Linked DNA regions of Callithrix jacchus. The protein of the gene in region 3 interacts with the protein of the main gene of each other region in a pairwise test. Links are inferred from orthologs where the notes say so. Each region holds a gene or a part of one and is shown on either strand. Other genes may lie near its edges.

Region 1 (4,375 bases), on a different chromosome or scaffold from region 3:
GCTGAGACAGAAGGGAGAGAGGGAGGAGAGAAGGAGGGAAGCCCAATGAAACACGAGTTACCTAAGTCCAGAATGGAGATCCTTCTCGCTACATCTGTTGAATATAGCACCTGTTGAACAGACTTTCTTTTCCTGATCATGGACAGCCTCTCAGTTTCTGTTTTCCTTCATAATAGAAATCCTTCTATGATGTAAACTATGGCTCACACCATGAAGAATGCATGGATCAGTCTGTGTCTCTGAGTATCTCTGAAACCTCTAAGACATCCAAGCTTACCTTCAAGGAGAGTGTGGTGATAGTGTCAACCAATGGGAAGGTTCTGAAGAAGAGACGGTTGACTTTAAACCATTCCATCACTGATGATGACCTGGAGGGCATCGCCAATGACATAGAAGAAGGTAAGGGGTCAAGCACAATAATATCCTTGTTTTCAAGGATTTTTTTATTTTTAATTTTATTGTACTTTAGGTTCTGGGGTACATGTGCAGACCATGCAGGATTGTTGCATAGGTACACACACAGCAATGTGGTTTGCTGCCTCCATCCCCCCGTCACCTACATCTGGTATTTCTCCCCATGTTATCCCTCCCCGACCTCCCACCTCCACATCCCTCCCTTGGCCCCCACCAACAGACCCCAGTGTGTGATGCTCCCCTTCCTGTGTCCAGGTGTTCTCACCATTCAACACCCACCTGTGAGTGAGAACATGCAGTGTTTGATTTTCTGTTCTTGTGTCAGTTTGCTGAGAATGATGGTTTCCAGGTTCATCCATGTACCTATAAAGGAGACGAACTCATCGTTTCTTATGGCTGCATAATATTCCACAGTGTGTATGTGCCACATTTTCCTTGTCCAGTCTATTGTTGATGGGCATTTGGGTTAGTTCCAGGTCTTTGCTATTGTAAACAGTGCCACTATGATTATATGTGTGCATGTGCCCTTATAAAAGAACAATTTATGATCCTTTGGATATATACCCAGTAATGGGATTGCTGGGTCAAATGGAATTTCTATTTCTAGGTTCTTGATGAATCGCCACACTGTCTTCCACAATGGTTGAACTAATTTACACTCCCACCAGCAGTGTAAAAGTGTTCCTATTTCTCCACATCCTCTCCAGCATCTGTTGTCTCCAGATTTTTTAATGATCGCCATTCTAACTGGTGTGAGGTGGTATCTCAATGTGGTTTTGATTTGCATTTCTCTAATAATCAGTGACGATGAGCATTTTTTCATATGTTTGTTGGCCTCATGTATGTCTTCTTTTAAAAAGTGTCCGTTCATATCCTTCTCCCACTTCTGGATTGGTTTGTTTGTTTTTTTCTTGTAAATCTGCTTTAGTTCTTTGTAGATTCTGGATATTAGCTCTTTGTCAGATGGGTAGATTGCAAAAATTGTTTCCCATTCTGTTGGTTGCCGGTTCACTCTAATCATTGTTTCTTTTGCTGTACAGAAGCTCTGGAGTTTAATTAGGTCTCATTTGTCTATTTTGGCTTTTGTTGCCAATGCTTTTTGTGTTTTAGTCATGAAATCCTTGCCTATGCCTATGTCCTGAATGGTTTTGCCTTGGTTTTCTTCTAGGGTTTTTATGGTGTTAGGTCTTATTTTTAAATCTTTAATCCATCTGGAGTTAATTTTAGTGTCAGGTGTCAGGAAGGGGTCCAGTTTCTGCTTTCTGCACACTGCTAGCCAGTTTTCCCAGCACCATTTATTAAACAGGGTATCCTTTCCCCATTGCTTGTTTTTGTCAGGTTTGTCAAAGATCAGATAGTTGTAGATGTGTGGCATTGCCTCCAAGGCCTCTGTTCTGTTCCATTGGTCTATAACTCTGTTTTCATACCAGTACCATGCTGTTTTGATTACTGTAGTTTTGTAGTATGGTCTGAAGTCAGGTGGTGTGATGCCTCTGACTTTGTTTATTTTGCTTAGGTTTGTCTTGGCTATGAGGGCTCTCTTTTGGTTCCATATGAAGTTTAAGGTGTTTTTTTCCAGATCTGTGAAGAAGGTCATTGGTAGCTTGATGGGGATAGCATTGAATCTATAGATTACTTTGTGCAGCATGGCCATTTCCATGATATTGATTCTTCCTAACCATGAGCATGGAATGTTTCTCCATTTGTTTGTGTCCTCTTTTATTTCCTTGAGCAGTGGTTTGTAGTTCTCCTTGAATAGGGCCTTTACATCCTTTGTTAGTTGTATTCCTAGTATTTTATTCTCTTTGTAGTAATTGTAAATGGGAGTTTGCTCATGATTTGGCTCTCTGTTAGTCTGTTATTGGTGTATAGGAATGCTTGTGATTTCTGCACATTGATTTTGTATCCTGAGACTTTGCTGAAGTTGCTTATCAGTTTAAGGAGATTTTGGGCTGAGATGATGGGGTCTTCTAAATATACAATCATGTCATCTGCAAATAGAGATAATTTGACTTCCTTCTTTCCTAATTGAATACACTTTATTTTTTTTTCTTGCCTGATTGCTCTGGCTAGAATTTCCAAATACTATATTGAATAGGAGTGGTGACAGAGGACATCCTTGTCTAGTGCTGGATTTCAAACGGAATGCTTCCAGTTTTTGCCCATTCAGTATGATATTAGCTGTAGGTTTGTCATAAATAGCTTTTATTATTTTGAGATATGTTCCTTCAATACCGAGTTTATTGAGGGTTTTTAGCATAAAGTGCAGTTGAATTTTGTCAAAGGCCTTCTCTTCATCTATTGAGATAATCAGGTGGTTTTTGTCTTTGGTTCTGTTTATGTGGTGGATTATGTTTATAGACTTGTGTATGTTGAACCAGCCTTGTGTCCCCAGAATGAAGGCTAATTGATCATGATGGATAAGCTTTTTGATGTGCTGTTGCAATCGGTTTGCCAGTATTTTATTGAAGATTTTTGCATCTATGTTCATCATGGATATTGGCCTGAAGTTTTCTTTTCTTATTGAGTCTCTGCTGGGTTTTGGTATCAGGATGATGTTGGCCTCATAAAATGATTTCGGGAGGATTCTGCCTTTTTGGATTGTTTGGAATAGTTTCAGAAGGAATGGTATCAGCTCCTCTTTGTACGTCTGGTAGAATGCTGCTGTGAACCTGTCTGGACCTGGACTTTTTTGGTTGGTAGGCTATTAATTGCTGCCTCAACTTCAGCCCTTGTTATTGGTCATTTGAAGGTTTCAACTTCTTCCTGGTTTAGGCTTCGGAGGGTGCAACTGTCCAGGAATTTATCCATTTCTTCCATGTATACTGGTTTATGTGCATAGAGTTGTTTGTAGTAATCTCTGATTGTAATTTGTGGAGTCAGTGGTGATATCCCCTTTATCATTTTTTATTGCATCTGATTCCTCTCCCTTTTCTTTTTTATTAATCCTGATAGTGGTCTGTCTATTTTGTCGATCTATTCCAAAAACCAGCTCCTGGATTTATTGATTTTTTGAAGGATTTTTTGTGTCTCTATCTCCTTCAGTTCTGCTCTGATCATAGTTATTTCTTGTCTTCTGCTAGCTTTTGAGTTTTTTAATCTTCTTCCTCTAGCTCTTTCAATTTTGATGAATGGGGGCCGATTTTAGATCTTTCCTTGCTTCTCTGGTGGGCATTCATTGCTATAAATTTCCCTCTAGACACTGCTTTAAATGTGTCCCAGAGATCCTGGTATGTTGTGTCTTCGTTCTCATTGGTTTCAAAGATCATCTTTATTTCTGCCTTCATTTCATTGTTTATCCAGTTGACATTTGGGATCCACTTGTTCAGTTTCCAAGAGAAGGTTGTGCAGTTCTGAGTTAGTTTCTTAATTCTGAGTTCTAATTTGATTGCACTGTGGTCTGAGAGACTGTTTGTTATGATTTCCGTTCTTTGGCATTTGCTGAGGAGTGATTTACTTCTAATTATGTGGTCAATTTTAGAGTAGGTGCGATGTGGTGCTGAGAAGAATGCATATCCTATGGATTTAGGGTGGAGATTTCTGTAGATGTCTATTAGGTCCGCTTGGTCCAGATGTGAGTTCAAGTCCTAGATATCCTTGTTAATTTTCTGTCTCGTTGATCCGTCTAATATTGACAGTGGAGTGTTAAAGTCTCCCACTGTTATTGTGTGGGAGTCTAAATCTCTTTGTAAGTCATTAAGAACTTGCTTTATGAACCTGAGTGCTCCTGTATTGGGTGTTTATATATTTAGGATCATTCGCTCTTCTTGATGCATTGATCCTTTTACCATTATGTAATGCCCTTTTTTGTCTCTTCTGATCTTTGTTGGTTTAAAGTCCATTTTATCAGAGAACAGGATTGCAACTCCTGCTTTTTTTCTCTCCATTTTCTTTATAAATCTTCCTCCATCCCTTTATTTTGAGCCTATGTGTGTCCTGGCATGTGAGATATGTTTCCTGA
Region 2 (4,375 bases), on a different chromosome or scaffold from region 3:
TGTCATCTAAGACATCAGTGATACACCAGTAATTCCTGAAGCTTGAGAAAGTTGTTCAAATGTAGCTGAAATAAGTAAAAGCAGCCATGTGAATGCCACAATTTTGGTTGGAAAAATGGTATTTCCTACGACAATCTGTATTATGTTTTCCCAACTTTTTGTTTAGCCATTTCAGGATTGGGGGCCAGTTTTTCAGGTAAAACATCAATCTTAAGTTTAATACTCAGAGAAGCATAATTAATGCCAAAAGCTGAAGCTTTCTTCTACAGACAGAACTTCTATAGCTGTTCAAGTCCAAAGAGCAAACCTGAAAAACCTAGTAAGCCAATCACTAAGCAAACTCATCACTCATAAGTCAGCTTTCACTGCATGAATCTTAAACGATTTTAGCAAACCAATTTTGGGCGAGTTCTCCTGTTTTCAGTATAGCTCTTCAATGCGTCAGAACACCCTGTTGTGCTGCGTTCCCTGAAAGGTCTTTTCATGAACACCTGCAGCCACCCCCAGCTCTACATGCCTTTGCCCTCCCAGGTGCCCACTTCCCTCCCATTTGCTGCTTATCGACGCAGGGCTAACACACCAGGAAGTTTCTCCCGTCCCAGCAGGTCCGAGAGGAAACCCTGCTCGGGCCACAGCTGCACCACACGCAAGAGGCAGGCCCCTGCTGCTCACAGGACCTGTCCATGGGCTTGGAGTACAGGGACACCAAGGCCTCCTGGGCTGGCTCTGCACAGGGTGCCCTCTGACATCTGGGATTGGGAGGTGAAGAACCTCACTACATCTAACAGAGGTATGGGTAGAGGAAATCTCACTGCATCCAAGAGTCTCCTTTAACTTCCAGAATAAACATGCTATTGAAGGCATGCATGATGTTGTGTCAAAGTCTATGGCAAATATGCAACCTTGACTTCCATTCTGTGTTGGCCAATGAGTGTAGGTGATAAAATCCCGTGTTTGTTCCTCTGGTGGAGGCCAAATAGTTCTCATCCTAAACCATACACCCAGCCTTGGGGCCAGCTGAATTTCAAAACAGTACCTCCTCTTGAGAGAGGGTTCCCATCAACTTGTTTCAAATTCCACAGTTGCCTGCTTCCAATTGCCATCCAGTTTCTACCCTGCTCCCCTGCCGCTCATATTCCCCACCACAGATGCCAATCGGAGTGCCCAGGGCCACACTTCATTCCCTCATATTCTCGACCTCAGACAACAATCCAAAACCCTTCCTCACTGCCATGAGAACAAAGAAGCAAACTGACTATAATACAAGATCACCTCCTTTTTTTTTTTTTCTGAGACGGAGTTTCGCTTTTGTTGCCCAGGCTGGAGTGCAGTGGCACAATCTCGGCTCACCGCAACCTCTGCCTCCTGGGTTCAAGCAATTCTCCTGCCTCAGCCTCCCGAGTAGCTGGGATTACAGGCATGCACCACCATGCCCAGCTAATTTTTGTATTTTTAGTAGAGATGGAGTTTCTCCATGTTGGTCAGGCTGGTTTCGAACTCCTGACCTCAGGTGATCCGCCCGCCTTGGACTCCCAAAGTGCTGAGATTACAGGCATAAGCCACCACACCTGGCCACCATCTACATTTTCTTTAAATGCATGAAAGGTTGAGTGAAATCAACTTGCCTTCTTGGATTCTAACATGGCTGAAATAATGTGCTTTCCTATCTGGATCAGCATATCCCCCACGTCCCAGCCCCATCTGAAATCGAGTCCTCCCCACTTCCCAGCCCCATTCAGACAGGAGTCTCCCCAGCCTCCTGTCCATAGCCAGAGTGGAGTCCCCAGCAGGTGTTGTCAACAAGTGGGTCATGATGATGAGACAAATCCCACTTGGAAGTCACAAGTAAAAGTTGAGGATTCCTTGCCTCCGCTGCTCCCCCCCGTACCGAGTTCATCATGAAGGCACTCATATCTTCAGCAGGAATCCGATTCACCAACTCTGCACCTTCCAGCAGTGCAGAGTCTGACCTGGTCCAACACTGGGATTTGACAAGATGGATGTACCAGTCCTGAGAAGAAAAAATGGATACAGGGAACATGATGGGCGGCATTCAAGGGGTCTTCACATTCCTGGAGCTACGGGCCTAGGCCAGTGCTTGGGAACACTGCACTGGGCTAACCAAGAGGGACAACAGCCAGCATGCTGTGGCCCTATGGGTCCCCACACCACAGGTGTGGGGAGCCATACCACCTTTGGACTTCCGTTACCTGCCTGAGCACCCTTGCAGTCTCCCTGTCACCTCGTGAACTTCCAACAGTCCTTCCAAATACAGCTTTATGTGGGGAGCCATACCACCTTTGGACTTCCGTTACCCACACCACCTTTGGACTTCCGTTACCTGCCTGAGCACCCTTGCAGTCTCCCTGTCACCTCGTGAACTTCCAACAGTCCTTCCAAATACAGCTAAAGCACTAAGGGTTAGCAGCCCCTTTACATCCTCCCTGGGCTTTGCTTTGCTCGTCTCTCCCCAGCAACCAGGGCAGGGCAGGTGCAACAAAGCCTAAGAAGGCAGGACTGAACATTCGCTTTCCTATACTTGGGCTGCGGGTTTTTGAAATCTAAATTCACATTCATAAGCTGAACTCTCTCCAGGAAAGTAGAGTACCAAGGCTCTACCAAGGCTCCAGGCAGTCCCTAAGTAACCCTGAGTGTGAGCAGTGGAGGTGCTGACAACATGCCAGAATGGCTGGCAGTGGTGGTGCAACTGACAGGAGGCCAGAAGGCGTAAGGAAATGGAGGCAGGCTAAACGCACTGACAGGTGCTTGAAGGCCTGTGCAGTCAGAATCCTGCAGGCCCTGGCCAACCTTCCCTTGATTCACCCACTAACTACTGGGCCCCATACTCCTAACATATGGGTCCCACATCCTAGGACCTTAGTGGTGCCCCACATCTCTAACCAAAGCTGGCTCGGGCCGAGCCCCAGACTCCTTGGGTTCACTGTACCTCCTCTGCACACTCTCTATCTGCTAGAGGTGACAGTGGCACTCAGCACCACCCTGCATGTGCCCTGTACCTCCCATGCAGACAGGCTGGACACTTACTTTGTCTGGACTCACTGTTTCCAGTGACACGTGCCCATCCCCGTCCAGCGGGTGGGAAGAGACTGGAGGAGAGGGACTGAGTGAGTCTTGCAGGGTGGAGAGACGAAACCTGTCCAGCAGGGAATAGAGCCTTTGGTGTCTAAAATACAAACAAAAATGAAGTTACAACACAATTTTTTTTTTTTTAGTCTTAGTCTAAACTCCGCAAACTAGGAGTCTAGAAATATACACTAAAAGGACTCACGCTTAGTGGCTTCTTAAAGGAAAACGCAACTTGTTTAAAACTTTTTCTTTACAGCTGTTTTCTCACCAACACTCAAACAGATCATGATACAAATGCAGGCCCTAGTTGACTTTCAAGTCACAGTTTGTATTCTATTATTATTTCCCAGAAATTTCACTTCTGGAATATACTCAAAACATTGCAACAGGCAATACGTGGTATAAAGGCATTCTTAATAAATGTAAAACAGATCATCTATCCTAAAACTCAAGTGTACAAACTCCACCACAAATATCCCGGTGAAACAACTGATACGAATTTATGGTCATTTCAAGATAAAATCACCTCATCTGGTGCAAGATATTTATAATCTTTTAATCTTCCTCATCTGGACCGAAGACTAAGTCTGAGGTTAAGAAGTAATAGTTTATCTCCCACCATCTGCTAGGAGAGTGACAACTTCAAAATGCAAATTGTAAAATAGCTTGGCCCTACAGACTGAAATATCATCCCAAACTGACTGTCCGCCAAACTGTGCCCAATCCCATTTACAAATACCATCAAGGTACTCTTAAGACTGAAATCAAAGCATAATTATCTGTGTGTGTGCATGTGCATGTGCATGTGTGTGTTTTGGCAGTTTTAGCTCAAAGTATACAGCATAGTAATTATATCCTCCTTCTCTGCTGTCTCTCTCCCTCTCACAAACACAATCTTCCCCAACCCAGAGAAGAAAAAGGATAAAAGTTTAACTGGTTTTGCAGTCACGGAAACACTCACACAGGAGATGTAAGGATCTCTGATAAAGGCTTCTCAGAGACTCTGCAAATGTAACTGATTAAATGCTGCAAGGAGATAAAATGGCCACAGGATGCAGATACAACTCCTGCATGCCAAGGATTCAGTAGTGTCTTTCAGATTTGTCAGCTCTTATTTAGCAATTAGACGACACGCTTTGATTTTGCTGAGATAAAGCTGATAACCTATTTCCAACTCATCACGGGACAGTGAACACAGGCATTATAACTACTGCCTCTCAAACAGCCAACTGCGCCCACTCACGCCACAGACATGATCCTGCTGGTCGTTGTCCTTTACTCCTTATAA
Region 3 (5,153 bases):
AAACCCCGTCTCTACTAAAAATGCAAAATTAACCAGGCATGGTGGCGCATGCCTATAATCCCAGCTATTTGGGAGGCTGAGGCAGGAGACTCGCTTGAACCCGGGAGGTGGAGGTTGCGGTGAGCCGAGATTGCACCATTGCACTCCAGTCTGGGCAACAACAGTGAAACTCCGTCTCAAAAAAAAAAAAAAAAAAAAAAAGACTACCCATTGGGTACAGTACATTGCTTGGGTGATGGGTGCACTAAAATCTCAGAAATCACCACTAAAGAACTCATCCATGTAACCAAACACCACCTGTACCCCAAAAACTATCAAAATAAACTAAACCTTGGGGCCCATTCCCCCTAGGAATGGACTACTGTAGTAGTTGCTTCTTGGGTGCTTTTCTGTGAGATAGCTATATCCAATCCTTAAAGAGTCTAGAGAAAGGTCTGGCCTGGAGATGGGGTACAGGGAGACAGGTGGAGAGGCTTTGAAAAATAAATGATACAACAGTAAACAAAATACTGAAAAAAAAAAAAATGAGGCCAGGCACAGTGGCTAATGCACTTTGGGATGCCGAGGTGGGTGGATCACCTGAGGTCAGGAGTTCGATATGGTGAAACCCTGTCTCTATAAAAAATAACCAAGGTAGGGCTTGGTGGCTGGGGCCTCTAATCCCAGCTACTCGGGGGACTGAGGCAGGAGAATCACTTGAACCCGGGAGGGAGACATTGCAGTAAGCCGAGATGGCGCCACTGCACTCTAGCCTAGGAAACTCTTATCTCAAAAAAAAAAAAAAAAAAGGGACACTTCTTTATAGTCCTCAATTTGTCCCTTCTCAGGATTCAACTAGCTTCCTTTCACTCGCTTTCTTAAAAATCCTTTGGTTGGTTGCAGACAGCCTGCTTAGAAAAAAAAATCCTGGCCAGTCGCGGTGACTCGCGCCTGTAATTCCAACACTTGGGGAGGTCGAGAAGGAAGAATCACGAGGTCAGGAGATCGAGACCATCCTGGCTCTGAAACCCGTCTCTACTAAAAATACAAAAAAATTAGCCGGATGTGGTGGCACGCGCCTGTAGTCTCGGCTACTCGGGAGGCTGAAGCAGCAGAATCGTTTGAACCCGGGAGGCGGAGGTTGCAGTGAGCCGAGATTGCGCCACTGCACTCCAGCCCGGGTGACAGAGACTCCGTCTCCCCACCCCAAAAAAATCCTGTATGGTTATAACAAACTCCCTAGTAGCTAGAGAGATGAAGTCTATGTGTCACTTATGTCTTGATCTCTTCTCTGGGGAATTCAATACTAAAAGGAGCTTGGAGAAACATTTTTTTGTTCATCCCTCTAACAGCAGACATCACCCAGGTCAGTCAAAAGCTTCGGAGTAAGGGGCGAGGTGGTTTCGGCGGTGAGGCTGGCCAGCACCGGGGGTGGGGAGGTTTGAGGGATGCCCTCAAGCCGGCCCATTTGTGCGGCTGGGAGGCCCTCTGGCGGCTTTATCCGGGTGCCTTCCAGAGTCAAACCCTCGAAATTGCTTTCCGGACCGAGTTGGTCTGCAGAAAGGAGAACAGATTTAAGAGGAAGGCGGTCATAGGTAAACTGAACGTCCGTCACGCCCACTCCTGTCACGGAAACTGGCCTCTAAAAGGTGGGGTAAAGATAAAGCCTCTGAAATTTGAGGAAGACCTTCCGCTCTGTCTCCCTTTCACGTCCGACTTACAGTCTTTTACGACAGTATTCGGATCGCGCGCGGGCTTGCTTTCCGGCAGCGTGGGCTGACGTCTCGCTCGTTTTCCTACGGGGCTGCGCAGGTTTCACTCTTCTGCGAATCGGCCAGTGGAGGGGTTTAAATGTTCGAGTGCCAATACGGGAATGAGCCTCTTTGATCTCTTCCGGGGCTTTTTCGGCTTTCCTGGACCTCGGAGGTGAGAGTAGGTCCGGGTCGGACAAGGGTGAGGTCGTCTGAGAAGAGTTTGACCCCTTACGTCTTATTTTTGGGAAAACATCCTCTGGCCTACTCCTTCAACCCCTGTGAAGTCGTAACATTGAGCACTCGCCCCGCCACAGTAACCAGGGTGGTCGTTAAGAGGAGAAACAGCAAACTAAGCCTTTCTCCAACCTGGGGTGATGCAACAAGGACCCGGGCGGGATAGACAATTGGGGTCTGGGGAAGAGGACAGCGGGCTTGTGACCAGGACCTTGGGAGAGAGGGGAGGGGCTGGGGCACACTTAAGGAAAACTGGGGAAAGGTGTTTGAAGGGAGTTGCGAGCTGAGGTCTGACTTTGATAAAAAACAAAACCAGAACTGTCGGACATTGTATTAATATTTTGATGTGGCAGCCAGCCCTCCGACCCTCTCCCCAGCTTCCCAAATCGCTTGCTCTTGTCCCACTTTGCCACCCATGAGTTGATTTTATGGCTTAAGTCGTGCTGAAATCTTGGTGGCCAATCTGCCTCCACTCTCAGCCACAGAGATCCCTTTTTTGGAGGGATGACTCGAGATGAAGATGATGAGGAGGAAGAGGAAGAAGGAGGCGCATGGGGCCGTGGGAACCCCAGGTTCGATAGTCCTCAGCCCCCTGAGGAATTTGGCTTCAGCTTCAGCCCAGGAGGAGGGATACGTTTACATGATAACTTCGGCTTTGATGACCTAGTACGAGATTTCAATAGCATCTTCAGCCATATGGGGGCCTGGACCTTGCCTTCTCATCTTCCTGGTGTGTGGCTTTCCCTGAGGCACAACCTGTGGTTTCTAGTGGGTTGGTGGGTGAAATAAAGAGCCTGCAGGGAGTAGCTGGGGGATGGGACGTGTGAGAAGATGGATAATTTCAGGGAGATGTATACAGCCCAAGTTCTTTCCCACCCCAGCAAACACCTGCCACCTTTCTGCAGAACTTCCAGGTCCTGAGTCAGAGACACCTGGTGAGAGACTGCGGGAGGGACAAACACTTCGGGACTCAATGCTTAAGTATCCAGATAGTCACCAGCCCAGGATCTTTGGGGGGGTCTTGGAGAGTGATGCAAGAAGTGAATCCCCCAAACCAACACCATACTGGGGCTTCCAGAGACCATTTCATAGGGTGAGTATCCCATCTGGGCCTGAAGTGAGAGCTTGTGAGAGACTACTAATTAAAAGTGCAAAGATTGGCCAGGTGCGGTAGCTTAACGCCTGTAATCCCAGCACTTTAGGAGGCTGAGACAGGCGGATCACCTGAAGTGAAGAGTTAGAGACCAGCCTGGTCAACATGGTGAAATACCATCTCTGCCAAAAATACAAAAAATTAGTAGGTTGTGGTGGCAGGCACCTGTTTTCCCAGCTACTCAGGAGGCCAAGGCAGGAGAGGGGCTTGAACCCAGGAGGCAGAGGTTGCAGTGAGCTGAGATCACACCATTGCACTCCAGCCTAGGCGACAAGAGCAAGACTTCATCTCAAAAAAAATAAATAAATAAAAGGCCAGGTGTAGTGGCTCACGCCTGTAATCCCAGAGACAGGAGGATCACCTGAGGTCAGGCATTTGACACCAGCCTGGCTAACATGGTGAAACCCCATCTCTAATAAAAATAAAAAATTAGCTGGATGTGGTGGTGTGCCCCTGTAGTCCCAGCTACTTGGGAGGCTGAGGCAGGATAATTGCTTGAACCCAGGACAAGGACATTTCAGTGAGCTGAGATCATGCCACTGCTCTCCAGCCTGGGTGATAGAGTAAGACTGTCTCAAAAAAAAAAAAAAAAAAAAAGGCCAGGTACAATGGCTCACGCCTGTAATCCCAGCCCACTTTGGGAGGTGGGCAGATCACAAGGTTAGGAGTTCAAGACCAGCCTGATCAACATGGTGAAACCCCTTCTCTACTTAAACTACAAAAAAATTAGCCAGGCATGGTGGTACATGCCTGTAATCCCAGCTATCTGGGCTGAGGCAGGAGAATCGCTTGAACCCAGGAGGTGGAAGGGGAAAAAAGGTGCAAAAAGGGTGCAAATATTGGACTTTTTTTTTTTTTTTGAGAACGAATCTTGCTCTTTCACCGAGGCTGGAGGGCAGTTGCATGTTCTCAGCTTACTGCAACCTCTGATTCCCAGGATCAAGTGATTCTCCTACCTCATCCCCCTGAGGAGCTGGGATTATAGTCACCCCCCAAACACCCAGCTAATTTTTGTATTTCTGGTAGAGATGAGGTTTCATCATGTTGGCCAGGCTACTTTCGAGCTCCTGACCTCAGGCGATCCACCTGCCTCAACCTTCCAAAGTGCTGGGATTAGAAGCATGAGCCATTGTGCCTGGCCAAAGATTGCATTTCTTGTTTGAATCTGATAGCTTTGGGTTGGAATCCTAGCCCCCCATTTAGTGTGTTTATATGTTTTCTATATTAAGCTCATGGGGTTTTTTTTTAGAGGGAAATGGGTGTTCTGTTTCTTAAAAAAACAAAACAAAAATACCACTGGTCTACATAATTCTTGGATAAGGCAGGATTGTGCACAGAGGATAGGAATATATTAGTTGAGGAAATTTTTCTGGTAGAAGGATATATAAAACAGCCAGGAAGGAGGAAACAGTGGGTAAATAGAGCTATTCTGAATGGAATTCTCTGTCCTCTGGAAGGGGGTTTTGGAGTTTGGGAGTAGTTTGGGGTCTATAACCTTTCAAGTTTCAGATTGGAAGGTGTCTTTTCACTTACTATGGTTTCTTCTGCAGTTTGATGACATATGGCCTGTGGACCCTCATCCTAGAACCAGAGAGGACAATGGTAAGTCTGGAGGAAGGGGAAGTTTACCAGTCTTTTGTTACTCTTCTGAAATTCTGTCTGTTCTCCCTCAGACCTGAAGTTTCTTCCTGTACACTTGTCTCTTTTTTCCCTTGGAATCTTTCTCTCCTGGTTCTTTTCTCTGCTCTTCCAGATCTTGATGCCCAGGTTGCCCAGGAGGGTCTTGGCTCGGTTCTACAGCCCCAGCCCAAATCCTATTTCAAGAGCATCTCTGTGACCAAGATCACTAAGCCAGATGGGGTGAGTTGAAAGAAAGAGGTAAAGTAAACTGTGGCCAGGGAATGAATGCCCTGATACAAGGATCTTTAAAGAAACTGCTGAGCATAACCTTTAGTGATGTTAAGATTATGGCGGGGATTTCTTCTTGTAGGTAGTGGAGGAGCGCAGGACGGTGGTAGACAGTGAGGGCCGGA
Region 4 (4,375 bases), on a different chromosome or scaffold from region 3:
CCATAAAATCTGTTAGACTGATGTCCTCAAGTGTTTCCCCTACATTTTCTTCTAGTAGTTTTATAATTTCAGGTGTTAAGTCTTTAATCCATCTTCAGTTGAATTTTGCATATGGTGAGAGACAAGAATCAGGTTTCATTCTTCCGCATATGGATATCCAATTTTTCCAGCATCATTTATTGAAAAGGGTGTCCTTTTCCTAATGTACGTTCTTGTTGCTTTTGCAAAAAAATCAGTTGGCTGCAAATATGTGAATTTATTTCTGCGTTATCTGTTTTGTTCCATGGGTCTATATGCCTCTTTCTATATCAATGCCATGCTATTTTGGTTACAACAGCCTTTTAAGACAGGTAGTGTGATGCTTCTAGCTTTTTCTGTTTGCTCAAGATTACTTTGGCTATTTGGGCTCCTTGTTGGTTCTGTAGAAATTTTAGGATTGTTTTATTTCTGTGAAAAATGACTGGTATTTTAGGCTGGGCACGGTGGCTCACGCCTGTAATCCCAACACTTTGGGAAGCCGAAGTGGGTGGATCACAAGGTCAGGAGTTCAAGATCAGCCTGGTCAAGATGGTGAAACCCTGTCTCTACTAAAAATACAAAAATTAGCCAAGTACGGTAGCAGGTGCCTATAATCCCAGCTACTCAGGAGGCTGAGGCAGGAGAACTGCTTGAACCCTGGAGGCAGAGGTTGCAGTGAGCCGAGATTGCACCACTGCACTCTAGCCTGGGCAACAAAGCAATACTCTGTCTTAAAAAAAAAAAGAAAAGAAAAGAAAAAAATGACTGTTATTTTAATAGGAATTGTACAGAATATGTAGATTACTTTGGGCAATATTGTCATTTTAATGATGTTAATTCTTCTGATCCACAAGCATGGGATGTCTTTCCACTTGTTTTTGTGCTTTTCAATTTCTTTCATCAGTGATCTGAAATCTAAATTTTTTTAAATGACATACTTGAATTTGAAAACTTATAATTAACTTTTACTTTATTGGAAAGTTGTTTTAAAGTCTGTTTTTAAACTTTTAAAAATTATGTCAAATTGCTCCTAAGAAAGGATCAGTAGAGATTTAGTTCTTATAGTATTTCCTCGACTATATTTTGCAAATTCAATTTTGAAAACAAAAGTTTAACTTATTATTTATTCTTCATATTTACATACTTATAACTCAGGTAGAAAAGTATTACAAGCTTTCAGTGATGTCTGCAATATAGATGGGAAAGGTGAATGCAAAGAGTAACACATATTCTATAGCAACAGTAAACATGGCTATTTCTGTTGCCCCTCAGCTACCAAAAACTCTCTTAAGTCTCCAGATTTAAAACCTCTCGGTTCATTCACTCATTCAGCCATTTATTTTTGTAAGCATCTGTTAGGCAGTCATGTGGCTGTGCTAATCCTATTTGACTCTTCTTTCTCCTTTGTCCTTCAAACCCCATTAGTGGTCAAGTCCCATTAATTTGGGCATGACCCACTTTTTCCCCTTTCCAAATTTTTGAAGTACAGGTCAAGCCTTCATTAACCACTGAATATGCACCAAATGGAAGATTATACAGTCATTAAAACTACTCATAAAAAGTATACAACATGAAGAAAATGATTCAAGTAAAAAGCAAGAACAGAAAACTATACAAAATATTATATAATCACATCAATATAAAAAAAGAATTTGGCATGAAAAAAATGAAGCAAATAATATACTGAGATCTCTAGCAGATGGGTACTTTGCCTTTACTTTGCTGCAGATTTGCTGCCTTTACTTTGCTGCAGATTTCCTATAATAAGCAGTTATTATTCTAGAAGAAAATATAAACGAGCTTTATTTTTTAAAACTATTTTAGTTAGATAACAAATTATTCCTGAGGTTCAGAAGTGCATATCAGAAACAACCAAAATAAACACTCAAGCATGCAGTTGTCTTAATCCTTTAACCTAATTCTTTAAAAACGAAAAGGTGCTCACCCATGGCTCTTACTGCACTTCTACATGCCCAGAAAACCTCTGCTCTTAATGTTCCAGTGAGACTCTGATGTCAGCTTTCATAAATAAGTTGTTCTTACCAACTACTTCACGTTATTTAAAACTTCAGTGATTTGCTTTCTCCTAAACTCTAATTCTCATTTTTCCTTCAAAAACGTCCTAGATTTCCCTTTCCTATTACCACTGGTACCCACTGGTACCTGCAATCCTCTTTTCTCTAGGAATCTACCCTTAATTCTAGTACAAAAGTAATCTTTAAACACTGCTTTCATAGAATCACTTGTCTTTTTGAAATGTGCAATAACTTCCACTTGACTCAAATCTATAAGCCTATTGTTGAACCACAAATCTCCATTCCATGTTACATCTTATTTCTTCAAACCAGGCAGAGCTACACTGTTCGTTAGATTTAAACCAGGCCTACTCTGTTTTCATTGTGTTATTCCCAATTTTCCACATAAAATGTCCTTCTTCTGGCCCCTGTTCATCTAAAGGCCAAGCTTGAGGCCCAGTCCAAGTCCAACCTCTTCTATGAATCATCTCTTTAAGTATTTCAGTCTACACTAATATCTCTCTGACTCCCTGTTGCACTTACAGTTAGTATCACAAAGTATAACAATTGCTTTGTGACCATTGTGTATAAACTGGTTTTGTTTCCCCAAAGAAGGTACCAGACAAATAAGGTACCAGAAAGCAGAGACCAACAGGCCCAAGGAAAACGCTAGACACGTAAACAATTAATACTAAATGAATAAATTTTTCTACAGTCAAAATACTAATGCTCCAAAACATTTTTAAAGTCACCTTATTTGAACTTATGTGGGCCAAAAAGTAAATCTCTCTCATATTTTATTTTTATCCTGCCAAAATTTAAAGTCTATTACTTGGTAGAAAAAAATAATCAGACAAGAAAGTTTTATTTTCTTCTTGCTTCATTTTATCTAGTGAAACCAGGACTTTAGGAATAAAGTAGAACTGTACATTTCTCCAATCTCTTCTGCTTCTTTCAGAAGTATCTCCAAGTCAGAAGATATAAAAAGTACCTTACTTTCCTTAATTATATGGTAATATTTTTTGCCTGTTACAAAAAGAATAAAAAGACATGCTCAACACACAACCGTATGGCAGTAAGTCTTTCTGATCAACTCAGGAAAGAATTCCTGAACTACTAAATCAGTTTTGTTCAAAGAAAAACTGCAGTAATGTACTTGCTCACGGTATCACTGAGCATGCCCAATTCTTCCTATTCTTTCCTTTCCCAAGTTTAAGTCCAGTGGCTCTGAAGATGTACCCTTCCCATTATTCTACCAAATCTGAACATAAATTCAACCCAACTGGAGACATTAAATTCTCTAGGTTTACAAGAGTCACAGCATTAAGAGACTAGACAGCCTTGAGATAAGAACCAGGTTTATACAACACAAGTTAATTCATTCAGTATAGATTACCAACTATTTGCACACAGGCTTAAGCAAGACTAGCAAAGTAGAAAAGTATTTTGCTAGGAGTATTAGTTTGTGCCCCAAGAAAATCTAGAAAAGAACATCTTTTCACTTGACATGTCAATAAACTACTATAGTATTTATATGTTAAGCTACCTGAAGCATGCCTCCCCTGATTCTGAGGCATTCTTTGGAAGAGATCATGGTTGTATTCATAATATCTGAATTCTTCATGTGTACGATCTCCAAGTGGCCGCTTTCTCTGACCATCAAAAAAATTGTCTGAATAATAGTATCGGGAACCAGAGTCTCCATTTTCAACAGCAAAATTAACTTCCGTTACAAATGACTGAGAAGAGCCATACTCTCTAGGGACATCTGCTAGACTTCTGGCAAGATAAGAAGGTGCAGATAATCTGTTGCTTTCTCTTCTCATTATTTCATGAGGTGTTCTTTGAATTGGAGTTCTAAGGAAACTCTGGTTTCTTGAAACTACCCCATCTCCAGAAGCTGAAAAGGCATTAGGGCTTGAATCTGGAAGACAGATATCAGTTCGTCTGGGAATTGTTGGACCATGCCGGATGAATGAAGGCATAAGATCTATAATGAAACAAAGGATAAAATTAGCCTTTTAATAAGTAACAAAAGCAGTTTTCAAAAGTTGTTCATTTGTGTCTACAACCCCAAAATCAAAATGTCAGTAAACTTAAGAAAACACAATTTTGGGCCGGGCACGGTGGCTCACACCTGTAACCCCAGCACTTTGGGAGACCAAGGCGGGTGGATCACAAGATCAGGAGATGGAGACCATCCCGGCCAATATCGTGAAAACCCGTCTCTACTAAAAATACATAAAATATAGCTGGGTGTGGTGGCGCAGGCCTGTAGTCCCAGCTACTCAGGAGGCTACGGCAGGAGAACTGCTTGAACCCAGGAGGTGGAAATTGCAGTA

The links.
Region 1: the proteins of HAX1 (region 3) and IL1A interact in binary tests that used the Homo sapiens proteins (3 or more experiments, as listed by UniProt). The link is inferred for Callithrix jacchus from reciprocal best matches to the Homo sapiens genes HAX1 and IL1A.
Region 2: the proteins of HAX1 (region 3) and HTT interact in binary tests that used the Homo sapiens proteins (3 or more experiments, as listed by UniProt). The link is inferred for Callithrix jacchus from reciprocal best matches to the Homo sapiens genes HAX1 and HTT.
Region 4: the proteins of HAX1 (region 3) and SAV1 interact in binary tests that used the Homo sapiens proteins (3 or more experiments, as listed by UniProt). The link is inferred for Callithrix jacchus from reciprocal best matches to the Homo sapiens genes HAX1 and SAV1.

What each region holds. Positions count from the first base shown.
Region 1 is NC_133515.1:21,801,549-21,805,923, forward strand, and holds part of IL1A (interleukin-1 alpha), read left to right. Parts: intron 1-176; coding exon 177-399; intron 400-693; exon of another isoform or gene 694-777; intron 778-4,375. UniProt on the Homo sapiens protein: Cytokine constitutively present intracellularly in nearly all resting non-hematopoietic cells that plays an important role in inflammation and bridges the innate and adaptive immune systems.
Region 2 is NC_133504.1:189,945,159-189,949,533, forward strand, and holds part of HTT (huntingtin), read right to left. Parts: intron 3,185-4,375; coding exon 3,046-3,184; intron 2,012-3,045; coding exon 1,889-2,011; intron 1-1,888.
Region 3 is NC_133519.1:14,693,100-14,698,252, forward strand, and holds the start of HAX1 (HCLS1-associated protein X-1), read left to right. Parts: upstream 1-1,769; 5' UTR 1,770-1,852; coding exon 1,853-1,905; intron 1,906-2,446; coding exon 2,447-2,697; intron 2,698-2,848; coding exon 2,849-3,060; intron 3,061-4,670; coding exon 4,671-4,722; intron 4,723-4,873; coding exon 4,874-4,980; intron 4,981-5,110; coding exon 5,111-5,153. UniProt on the Homo sapiens protein: Recruits the Arp2/3 complex to the cell cortex and regulates reorganization of the cortical actin cytoskeleton via its interaction with KCNC3 and the Arp2/3 complex. Slows down the rate of inactivation of KCNC3 channels. Promotes GNA13-mediated cell migration.
Region 4 is NC_133509.1:85,225,229-85,229,603, forward strand, and holds part of SAV1 (protein salvador homolog 1), read right to left. Parts: intron 4,024-4,375; coding exon 3,580-4,023; intron 1-3,579. UniProt on the Homo sapiens protein: Regulator of STK3/MST2 and STK4/MST1 in the Hippo signaling pathway which plays a pivotal role in organ size control and tumor suppression by restricting proliferation and promoting apoptosis.